Linked DNA regions of Caenorhabditis elegans. The protein of the gene in region 2 purifies or fractionates together with the protein of the main gene of each other region. This does not show direct contact. Each region holds a gene or a part of one and is shown on either strand. Other genes may lie near its edges.

The links.
Region 1: the proteins of C27B7.7 (region 2) and cutl-1 fractionate together in Caenorhabditis elegans (co-fractionation; one large-scale study listed by BioGRID). This does not show direct contact.

What each region holds. Positions count from the first base shown.
Region 1 is NC_003283.11:13,403,198-13,408,157, forward strand, and holds cutl-1 (ZP domain-containing protein), read right to left. Parts: upstream 2,918-4,960; 5' UTR 2,818-2,917; coding exon 2,649-2,817; intron 2,603-2,648; coding exon 2,364-2,602; intron 2,316-2,363; coding exon 2,166-2,315; intron 2,106-2,165; coding exon 2,015-2,105; intron 1,679-2,014; coding exon 1,379-1,678; intron 1,085-1,378; coding exon 834-1,084; 3' UTR 764-833; downstream 1-763. Other genes in the region: F53F1.2 (NADP-dependent oxidoreductase domain-containing protein), read left to right, coding at 3,727-3,930, 4,014-4,257, 4,308-4,477, 4,528-4,617, 4,670-4,855.
Region 2 is NC_003282.8:8,905,340-8,910,314, forward strand, and holds the start of C27B7.7 (Ig-like and fibronectin type-III domain-containing protein C27B7.7), read left to right. Parts: upstream 1-1,703; 5' UTR 1,704-1,709; coding exon 1,710-1,770; intron 1,771-1,995; coding exon 1,996-2,423; intron 2,424-2,506; coding exon 2,507-2,584; intron 2,585-2,923; coding exon 2,924-3,164; intron 3,165-3,236; coding exon 3,237-3,394; intron 3,395-3,475; coding exon 3,476-3,586; intron 3,587-3,633; coding exon 3,634-3,823; intron 3,824-3,872; coding exon 3,873-3,946; intron 3,947-4,014; coding exon 4,015-4,252; intron 4,253-4,316; coding exon 4,317-4,417; intron 4,418-4,543; coding exon 4,544-4,635; intron 4,636-4,679; coding exon 4,680-4,899; intron 4,900-4,943; coding exon 4,944-4,975. Other genes in the region: Putative serine/threonine-protein phosphatase C27B7.6, read right to left, coding at 1-165, 210-307, 354-467, 804-815.

The DNA.
Region 1 (4,960 bases), on a different chromosome or scaffold from region 2:
AAATCGGTTCGAGTTTTTCAAATCCTTATCACGAATTTGGAAAAAGTTGGATAAGTTGGTTTACAGCATTTTTATTTTCGATGTACGGATTTTCTGCGATTGCCAAAGTTTGGAATTTTGGTAATAAGATGTTCAACAATTTGGCTATAGAGTTCGTTTTTTTTACAAATGATAGACAGAAAGTTTGAAAAAATGTAGTTATTATTAATAGGTAGTTATGACTGTCATTAAAAATTATAACAATCTTGATATTTTGATATTTCTTATCAGCAATTCGAAAAATGATGAATAACTTGATAGTTTGGCATTTGCGCGAGTTTTAGAATTTTTGAAAATTGAATTGCCGCCCACTCATGATACAGATATCGTTTCAATATACTAATTTCGGAAAAACTTGATATTTCCCTTCAAAGGATCACAATATTTTTCTGAGTGGGTCTCACAACGATCTCAGCAACAATGGTTGTTAGAAGCTTCAAATTTTAAAATTGTTCATTCAAAATGAAGAATAAGAATGAAATTTCATATACTTACTTGTAGAGAGAAGGTCAGGAGTTACAATTAAACATGTATGTATAGCTTATGTAACTAATTTAAATAATTTTGTCTGAAACTCGACTTTTTACAACTTCCGCAATACGCCACGAATCGTTATCTTGATTACATGAATAGTTTGAAAATCAATCACACAGTTTAGATTGTGTGATCAATCACTTGTCATCGTCGTCTAATGACGGTGATGGATTCTGTTGAAATAGCCTACTAATTAAAAATGGTTCATTTCGAAAAAATAACAGTGGTTTTAAATGGGAAGGGATTATTAAAGATATGAACTATATTTTTGGAGAAATAATAACTGTAACTACTGATGTCAAAATTAGTATAAGAATGTAGAAAAGGAGAAATGGAATAGACATTGTCGACAATAAAACACAAGATTCAATAATTTCAATTGAATTTGTTTGAATATCAAAATGATAGCTAACAGAAAATCGTGTCCTAACATCCGTAATTTGCTCATCCAGGCTAGTTTCTGATCGTTTAGCACGTTGATTAAAAGAAACTTGTGTCTTTTGAGAAAAACCTGAAAACATTTAGAAATGTGTTTATTACGTTAGAGTTCTCGAAAATTTCAATCAAAGTTTTTTGTATATTACCGAATTTTCAAAATAGAACATCAGAAAAACACTTTTTAGGACGTCGAAGTAATGACTGGTGAAAACTGGGTTTTCCCTAAAACTGCAACAAAAATGTCACAGTTTCTGAATAGCTTTATTGTGATAGTTGGTAATTCCAACAACATACATATAAGGAGATTTAAAAAATGTCAAAAATGAATTTTTTTGCCAAATGTTCACTAAATTTTTCGAAATCATACCATATGGAGGTGGCCCAACAACGGGTGCTCCACCGCCTTCTACATCTTCACATATTGGTCTCACGCATTCCTGGTCTGGCTCTTTGACGGTAATTGATATCTGACACTGGAAGAAAAGAGCATCTCGATCAGCAAACTTATACACATGAGCTTCTTGCCCAGCGAGTAAGTTTCCCGGATACTCAAGGTTCGACAATAGAAACTTATCAATTGAGCACCCATTCGAGTCTATGAGAAATGAGGTTTCACCTCGTCCATCGTCAACAGAACACGTGTGAACTACCATGCAGAATGAGTCTTCTGAAAACAAACTAAGAATCGTTAGTCCCATGATTTGACTGGTTGCCTTAAATTTTATATTCTGTGTTCATTCATCCACGTATGCACGTTTATGCACAACCTGCTCCCGAAACGATCAATCTTATAAAATAATTACTTCTGCGAAAAATTGCGTGCGCATGTGAGGAGTACTGTAGTTTCCACACCTATCCTACAGTACACCTTGAAGCCGCACTTTGGTGGAATTATTTTATTTTTAGCTTAAGCTCTCACTCTCTTAATAAATATTAATTTATTTATTTATTTTTTTTTTTTTTATTTTTTTTTAAATCATACCTTTTATAAGAATTATCATACCTTTATCATTATCACACTTCCACTGATGATAAACCTGCTGACCTATTAAACCAAATTCTACAGGTTCACCGAACGGACCACCACTAAGGATCTTAAAGTTATACGTATACACGAAGCCAACCAGAAGAGATATTTTTAGTTTATGACGCACCTGATAAGTACAAGTTGGCATTGTCAAATTGACATTATAGCTTATTGTAGAGATTTCATCCACGGATATGTTGTTTGCAACAGTGACTTGGCTCTCCCGGTACAAGCACAACAAATTATAAGTTCTATCCACTTTTGTGATAAAATATGGCTGAAACAGAAAGCGATAAGGAAATATGTTTTATTATAAATAACTAACGTGAAATGAAATTGTGATTGTCGTTCGAACAGCAAGTCCCTTTGGATTCAATACTCGCTGTCTCAGTGCACCACATAATCCTATTTCAATTTCCAAGAAAGCTGAAAGTCTTCCAGTTCCTCTTGATGTACACACTTCTTCCGACGCAAAATCTTTAACAAAGATAACCCCAACAAATGGTTTTTCAGTTTTAATTTGAACTGATATAGTTCTCGAGTCACATTCAACTTGGACATCTCCTGAATATTTTGAAGCAGAGATAAATTTATTACTGAAAATAGTTACCGTATAAAGAATTTTGAATAGGAACAGGATTTACAGCCAGAGTAGCTAGGAGAAGCTGTAGGACAAGATGCATGTCTTCCAAATGACAATCATACTTTGATGATTCTGAGATCAAGAACCCTTTAGGAAAATAGTCCTCAAGTGTTCTTCTTATTTCTTTATTGTCCATATCTTAAACCGAGATATTAGATTGCAGAATAGGTTGTATCCAAGAATAGAGGGGAATTAATGGAGGAGCACTGTGAATAACCAGCTTTTATATTCCATAGAATTTTGGTTTCATGTTTATTGAAACCCTTTGTTTCAATATCAAACTGCTCCTGGAGGAATAATACTTTCCAACTTTTCCAGACATCTTTTCTTAAAAATTACCGTAATCAATTCCAACGATGCTCCGATATTTCGCAAGCGCGTGTTGTTTAGCCATTCCAAATAATCAACCAATTTTGTTTGTTTTTTGTTTTTTTTTTTAATTTATTTTATTGCTATTCGTTTTTTATTTGTTGTTTCATATATATATTAATTTTCCAAACTTGTCGTTAGTGTTTTGAATACCACAATACAATGAGGTTTTGCTATTTCCAACATTAATTCTCTGGCAAATCTCTGCGTCTCGCCCAATCCAAATTTTCGGTATTTTTTCGATGTAAAACAGAAAAGGAACTTTTAAAGTAAAATAATTTCGAATTCAAATAATGTATAGTTTTCTTTTCAAATTTTATTTTTATAATCCTCATGCTTATTGCATAATTCCAAACATCAGTTTCTCTGGCACCAATGAAACAAAATTCACAGATTATTTTTCTTAAAGAAAACTGTCCAAAGAACACTTTTACTTCTTTAAAAGTGAGGGAATAACTTTTGCTGTCCGCTCATTCCTGATGCGACTGACCTCGATTCAGGCCGCATCGACAAGTTGTCTCTTTCTCTAACCCCTTTGCATCTTTCTTTTTCTTGTACAATTCTTAGTCCACAGTCGGTATATGCCATTTTATCGTTCTAAATTAGAACTTCTAATCTTTCAAAACTTGCACTTTTTGCAATTTTCTCAGTGCTATATATTCAAATTCAGAGAAAAATGTCGGATTCGTTTGCCAATGTGCCAGGAGGATCACAAAAGCTCAACTCCGGATATAACATTCCATTCGTCGGATTCGGAACGTACAAAGTTACCGGAGAAAATGTTCCGCCAGCAATTGATGCAGCCCTCACTGCCGGTTATCGGATGTTTGACACGGCAAAGTATTATTTGAATGAAAAGGAATTAGGAGAAGCATTAAAGGTAAATTTTTATATTTTTATTTCAAAGATAAATTATGTTTACATTCTCTTTGTAATCAAATCTTCTTTATTCAAAATTTACAGATTCTCCTGCCTAAGCATGGATTATCTCGTTCTGATGTGTTCCTGACATCCAAATTCTTCCCAGAAAGCAAAAATTGTCGAGAAGCTTGCCGTGGATTTGTCGAAGAATCTCTACAATCTCTTCAAACCGACTATATCGATATGTATCTTGTTCACTATCCAAAACCGAATGACTCTGACAATGATGATGTGAATAACGCGGAATACCGGAAAATTGCATATGAAGTGCTGGAAGAGGCTAAAGGTTTGAAAATCAGAAATCTATTGGATTTTTCATTAATTTTATTATTTTAGCTGCTGGCAAAGTTCGTTCCATTGGAGTTTCAAACTATGAAATTGTGCATTTGGAAGAGCTCAAGACATACGCCAAGGTGCCGCCATGTGCTAACCAACTGGAGTATCATCCACATTTTGCAAGAATTCCACTTCAGAAGTACTGCAAGGAAAAAAACATTTTCTTCCAGGTTAGTTTCGATATTCTGGGGAAAACTCGTTTTATATAATCAATTTACAGGCTTTCTCCTCACTTGCAAGACACGAACCAAAGTTAATTGAAGATCCAGTCGTCGTTGAATTAGCTAAGAAGCACAATACATCAGTTCCTGTAAGTTTAATTAATTCTCAGACTGTATTCAAACAATTATACCTTTTTTCAGCTTGTACTTCTCGCGTGGGCTCTCCGCCAGAATGTTGGTATCGTACCGAAGTCGGTGACCCCATCAAGAATCGTAGAAAACTTCAAAGTAATCGATATTGCTCTGACTCCAGAAGATATTCAATCGTTAACAGCTCTTGATCGTGGGCAGCACTACATTCGTTGCACCGGATGGCTCGTCAAGTAAATGGCTTATCAATAATTGCAGTTTATTTCATAATCATTTTTCCCACATTGTGATATTTCCCTCTTTCTTGTGACTCTAACATGAAATTGAAACTTTTTAATTGTA
Region 2 (4,975 bases):
CGTCGAACCTCATGATTTCCACGTAGAAGATGAACTTTCTTCGAAAACAGAATTTTCATACAGAAAAGCCAAACAGTGACTTCCAATGAATTGGGTCCACGATCTACGTAGTCACCAAGAAAAAGATATTGAAAATCTGGTGGGCGACCAACTTCATTTGTGAATCTGTGTGAATGATTTATTTTTATTATAACTTCGATAAATTTTACTGTAACAGATCTCCGAGTTGTCCATGAATATCTCCAAAAACAACGACAGGAGCAATTATCTCAATAAGGCATGGAAGTGGCTCCAGAATCTCCTTTATCTTAAAAAAAAAAGGTTTTTGAAATTTTACTTCTTCTGTAACTTACAGTCTTCAATACTTCTAAAATATCACTATCAGAGAATCCCTCCAATGTCCCATACTTCTCAATTCGAGCAATCATTTGACGACATAATTCATGAACTTCTGTGTTAGCATGTTCCTATAAAAATTTCCAAAAATGCAAAACAGTATAGCAAGTTAATCCTACTGGGACCAGGAGTATAGTCTAGCTTTAGCTATCCAGATTAGGGTTTTTACGTGCCTATTTCATTCCTAGCTACATGCCTACCTCATACCTGCCTATATAAGCTTATATCTACGTGCTTACTTCATTCCTACAAACGTGCATATGCCATTTTTGGCAAGTTATCGGTTGTTTTACCCAAGCTTATTTGAATCGGATTTTAATGAAAAAGCACTAAACATCTTTAGGTACTTCAATCGTAAAAAAAATGAAGAGCCTCAAGGGTTGAATCCTCTGTAAAAAATTTCTTACCGTTTCAAGCATTGTTCTTCTTTTGATATTTTGCTGGCCAAGAACAAATACCTTTTGTAAAATAATTGTAAAGCCCAAAAGTTAAAGGTCAATTTCATTTTTTCCTCGTTAATCTTTTTACAAAAAGTTCACGCGATCACACATTCCTCAATCATTCTTGTCTGTCAGTGGAATAGCACGTGAATTGTGAATCCTCGATCGGATTGAATTGTGACTGGCATAACACGAGATATCACATAAAATTAGGAGTTATTAGGGATGATAAAGAATGTGAAATAGTGTAAGGAAGATGTAGAGACGCAGACAACTCTCGGACATTCGACCTCAAATCACGGACCTCCAGAGCATAGACAAGCTTAACTTTGTATCATTTGTTCAGCTATCATTTATCAGAAGTTGTTTTTTGTACTGTTTCTGAATAAAAGTGAATCCTCTTTTCTTGTAAAATTTACATTTTTAATTTTCTAAGTCTACTAGACTAGTAGTACTAGTAGATCATTTTCAAAAATAGCCAACATCAATTATGAAATTTAAATTCAAATAATATCAAAACCCATAAATACATTAAATTTTCTGAATATTGTATTTACAGTCCCCTACTACATAGCATATGTAATTAATGAGATCCCTCTGTTTAACATTTGAATAATTCGGACCCGACATTAAGTAGATTTTTCTAAAAACATTTCACGTTTTGAAATGTTGATAGAATAATGAATGAAACAATCTTGAGAGTTGGCTTCAGTGGAATTTCTTTCTAACTTGTATTACCCGGCAACTTCTCATTTAAGGTACTCGAGAATTCATAAAAAGTTAACGATATACGTCGAAACTACTCCTAATTTGAACAGTAATTTTCTTCCCATTTATTTCAAAATGAACATTGAAAAATTAAATATTTTTCAGATGATATCATTATCACTGGTACTTCTTCTGCTGTTTGGCGTTCGGTGCTTTGATTCAGCAGGTGAGTCACTTCAAAACTCGTGAACAAGTTTTGCACATGTCATGCGTTGTTTGAGAAATGCGAAGGAAAAATTTCATACGTAGGTTTCAGATGCAACAAAGTTCAAATATATTGAAGCATCTCGAGAACCATGAGGTGTTTTGTAAAACTGAGCTCAAGACTTGTACATAATCTTAATCAGAATAGACATAAACAGTGGCAGACTTTCAAAAATTAATCTTTCAGGTCAAATAAACGACGACTCACCATTATTCATTAGCACATCAATTGATAATTCAATGAATTTAAAAATCTTGGTGGAAAAGAAACCATATTTTACGGGCTCTGTTACGGGTTACAAGCTCTATTATACAAATGATTCAAGTCAAACCAATGAAGAATATGAGAAATGGATGCATCAAGAAGCACTTTCAAATCAGAATTCATATAATTTTGTAATTGATGCAAATAAACATGAAATCGTGTCAGGAGATGTATATCGAGTCAGAGCAACTGTTTTCTTCAATAATGTGGAAAGTGTTCCAACTGGAGTTATTTCAATCAATACAAGACAATCTATTCCAAAAGCTCCATTGATTGTTAACACTAAAATACTGTACAATTCATCTGTACTCATTTCATTTGTACCTGCTGATGATGTCAACGCTATCGAGGTTAGTATGGATTTGTAATACTGTTCTTTTGAATTAAACTTGAAATTGATAATTGATAGCTATTAAAATACTTTTGATTCCAGAACTATACTTTGATGTATAAACAAATGGAAGCGGAAGAATGGAAATCATTGAATTTCAAATCTGATTTTGATGGAAAGGTGAGATCATGGTTTAAAGGTGGAGTTGTGCCAACGGGGGAAATGTTTGAATGTTCGCATGCTTCCATATAAAACGACCAATTTAAACTTTTCAAAATTGTTTTAAATGTTTCATAACAGTCAAAATGAACAATTATTCAAATTTTATCATAAGTTTGGAAGTCGACCAAAAAAAAGCTCTACAAGTTATGCATTATTCGTATTCAAACATTATAAAGCTTCAAAATAATTTGTGAACTTCGTCGATTTTTGATAATTTTGGGTGTTTGGGAGTATTCAAACTTACTTAATTCTTTTTGGGGACTTTTTATTATTTGAAAAAATTTGGAAAATGTTCAGGTTCTTCTCGATGGCCTTATTCCAAACCATACTTATGAAATCAAAATTTTTGTAACGGGTGGAATAGTACAAGGAACTCCGTCAAATTTGGCAACGTTCACAACAAATTCAACTGCATTGGCTCTCGTAAAAACAGAACCAGATGAAGAATATACTGCTGATCCTCAAACAAATGAACCATTGAGTATTACATGTACTGTTAAATCAGTCAGTAAAGCATCAGTTTTATGGAAAGTTAATGGTGAGAAATTATTTTTTAAAAAAGTCATAAATCAATTTAAGACTCCACCGATCAATAAAACAAAGTTTTCAGGAATAAAAGTATCCGTAGATTCAAGTTTCTACACAGTTGTCACTTCAGTTCATGAAGATTTTATTGAGTCAACAATTCGTGCTAAATCTAGAACTCGATCTGCAAAATTCACTTGTTTAGCTACAAATGATGCTGGGGACTCATCAAAAGAAGTTAATGTAAGAATAAATATTTAATTGTGACCAGTTCAGCATGAAACAAACCAAGTCAATATACATTTCAAAATTGCAATTTTGTAGGTAATCATAAAAGGACCCGGAAGTCCTCCGTCTGAAATCACACTAGTCGCAGAAAAAAGAGGTTACACAATTTCATGGAAACCTCCATCACATCCTAATGGAAAAATTACGGTGAGGTATATTAAAACACAGAATTAATCAATAATAACTGTTTTCAGAAATATGTAGTATATCACACATTAAATCGAGAAGATCCATTATCCGATTGGCGAAAAATTGATTTGGATGGATCTGAAAAGATGGTTCGAATAATAATGGATACGGAAGAAAGTTTTTATGGAAGAGTTCAAGCTGCAACTGAACTTGGTCCTGGAATTATTTCTGATATTGTGGCAATGGAAAGAGATAGTGAGTGAAATCTAAGTTACATAAATAATCAAGTTTATTTAATTTTCAGCTCAACCAATTTCCGTCGAGTCTGACCTTTTTGGAGTGTCTGCAACCACAATGGTGGTGAATCCACGAGAAACAGTGAGTTCATTAATTAATTTTTAAAAAAATCAATTCATTTCTTCTATTGTCTCAGTTTTGTATTCCAGCTCTCGATTCAATGTACTGCACGTGGCAAGCCTCGTCCATCAATATCAGTTGCAATAAGTGATCGAAAAAATGCGAGTCAGGTGGAAGTTGATGTTTGGAGTCGTTTACAAGCCACGTCATCGGCTGGAATTGTATCTGCAGTACACAACTTTTCAGTGCTTACATCAAAATTCGTGCACTGTAGGGCAAAAAATTCAGCAGGCAGCAATTATTCTACAATGGAATTGAAAGTTGATAGTGAGTTAAATAGACACACTTCATAAATTTTTTACTTCCTTGCATAAATCTGAAAACTATTCAGAACCAGGAGATGCTCCAACTCAAATTCAAGTGCTCAGTGTCAATGCACTAGACGCTCTCGTAGTGTGGCACTCACCACAATTTCCAAATTCTCCGATAACAGTAAGTATTTATTTTTGTCAAGAGTTGAAAATAACTAAAAAATGAGATTTTATTAAAGTACAAAAATAGTGAAAATTTTGATGCTTTCATTTGATTTTTCCATATTAATACTCAAAACTACTTCAGAGTTACATAGTTCTTGTGAGCAATGATGATAAAGAAGACAAAAGTACATGGCTTCAATATGAATCGAACGCTAAGGAAACACAAATCAATAGGTAATTTGAAATAGTCACATTTATAACTTTGGAAACATTTTCAGAATGCTTCTTCCAACTGGAAATCTGGAAAAATCAACAGAATATTTTGTATGTGTTCGTGCAAAAAATGCAGCAGGAATTGGTCCAACAAGCAGTTTGATATCATTTATAACGTTGAATGGAGGACCTGATAGTCCTCCGGATAACTTAAAAGTATTGATAAATGAGGCAAATCAAGTGATTGTTTATTGGAATACACCTAATTCTACGACTGAAGTTACTGTTAGTTTTTTAGGCTCAACATCAAATAAACAATAATTATTCAGGGATATCTGATCTACTACACCCGAGATCTGAG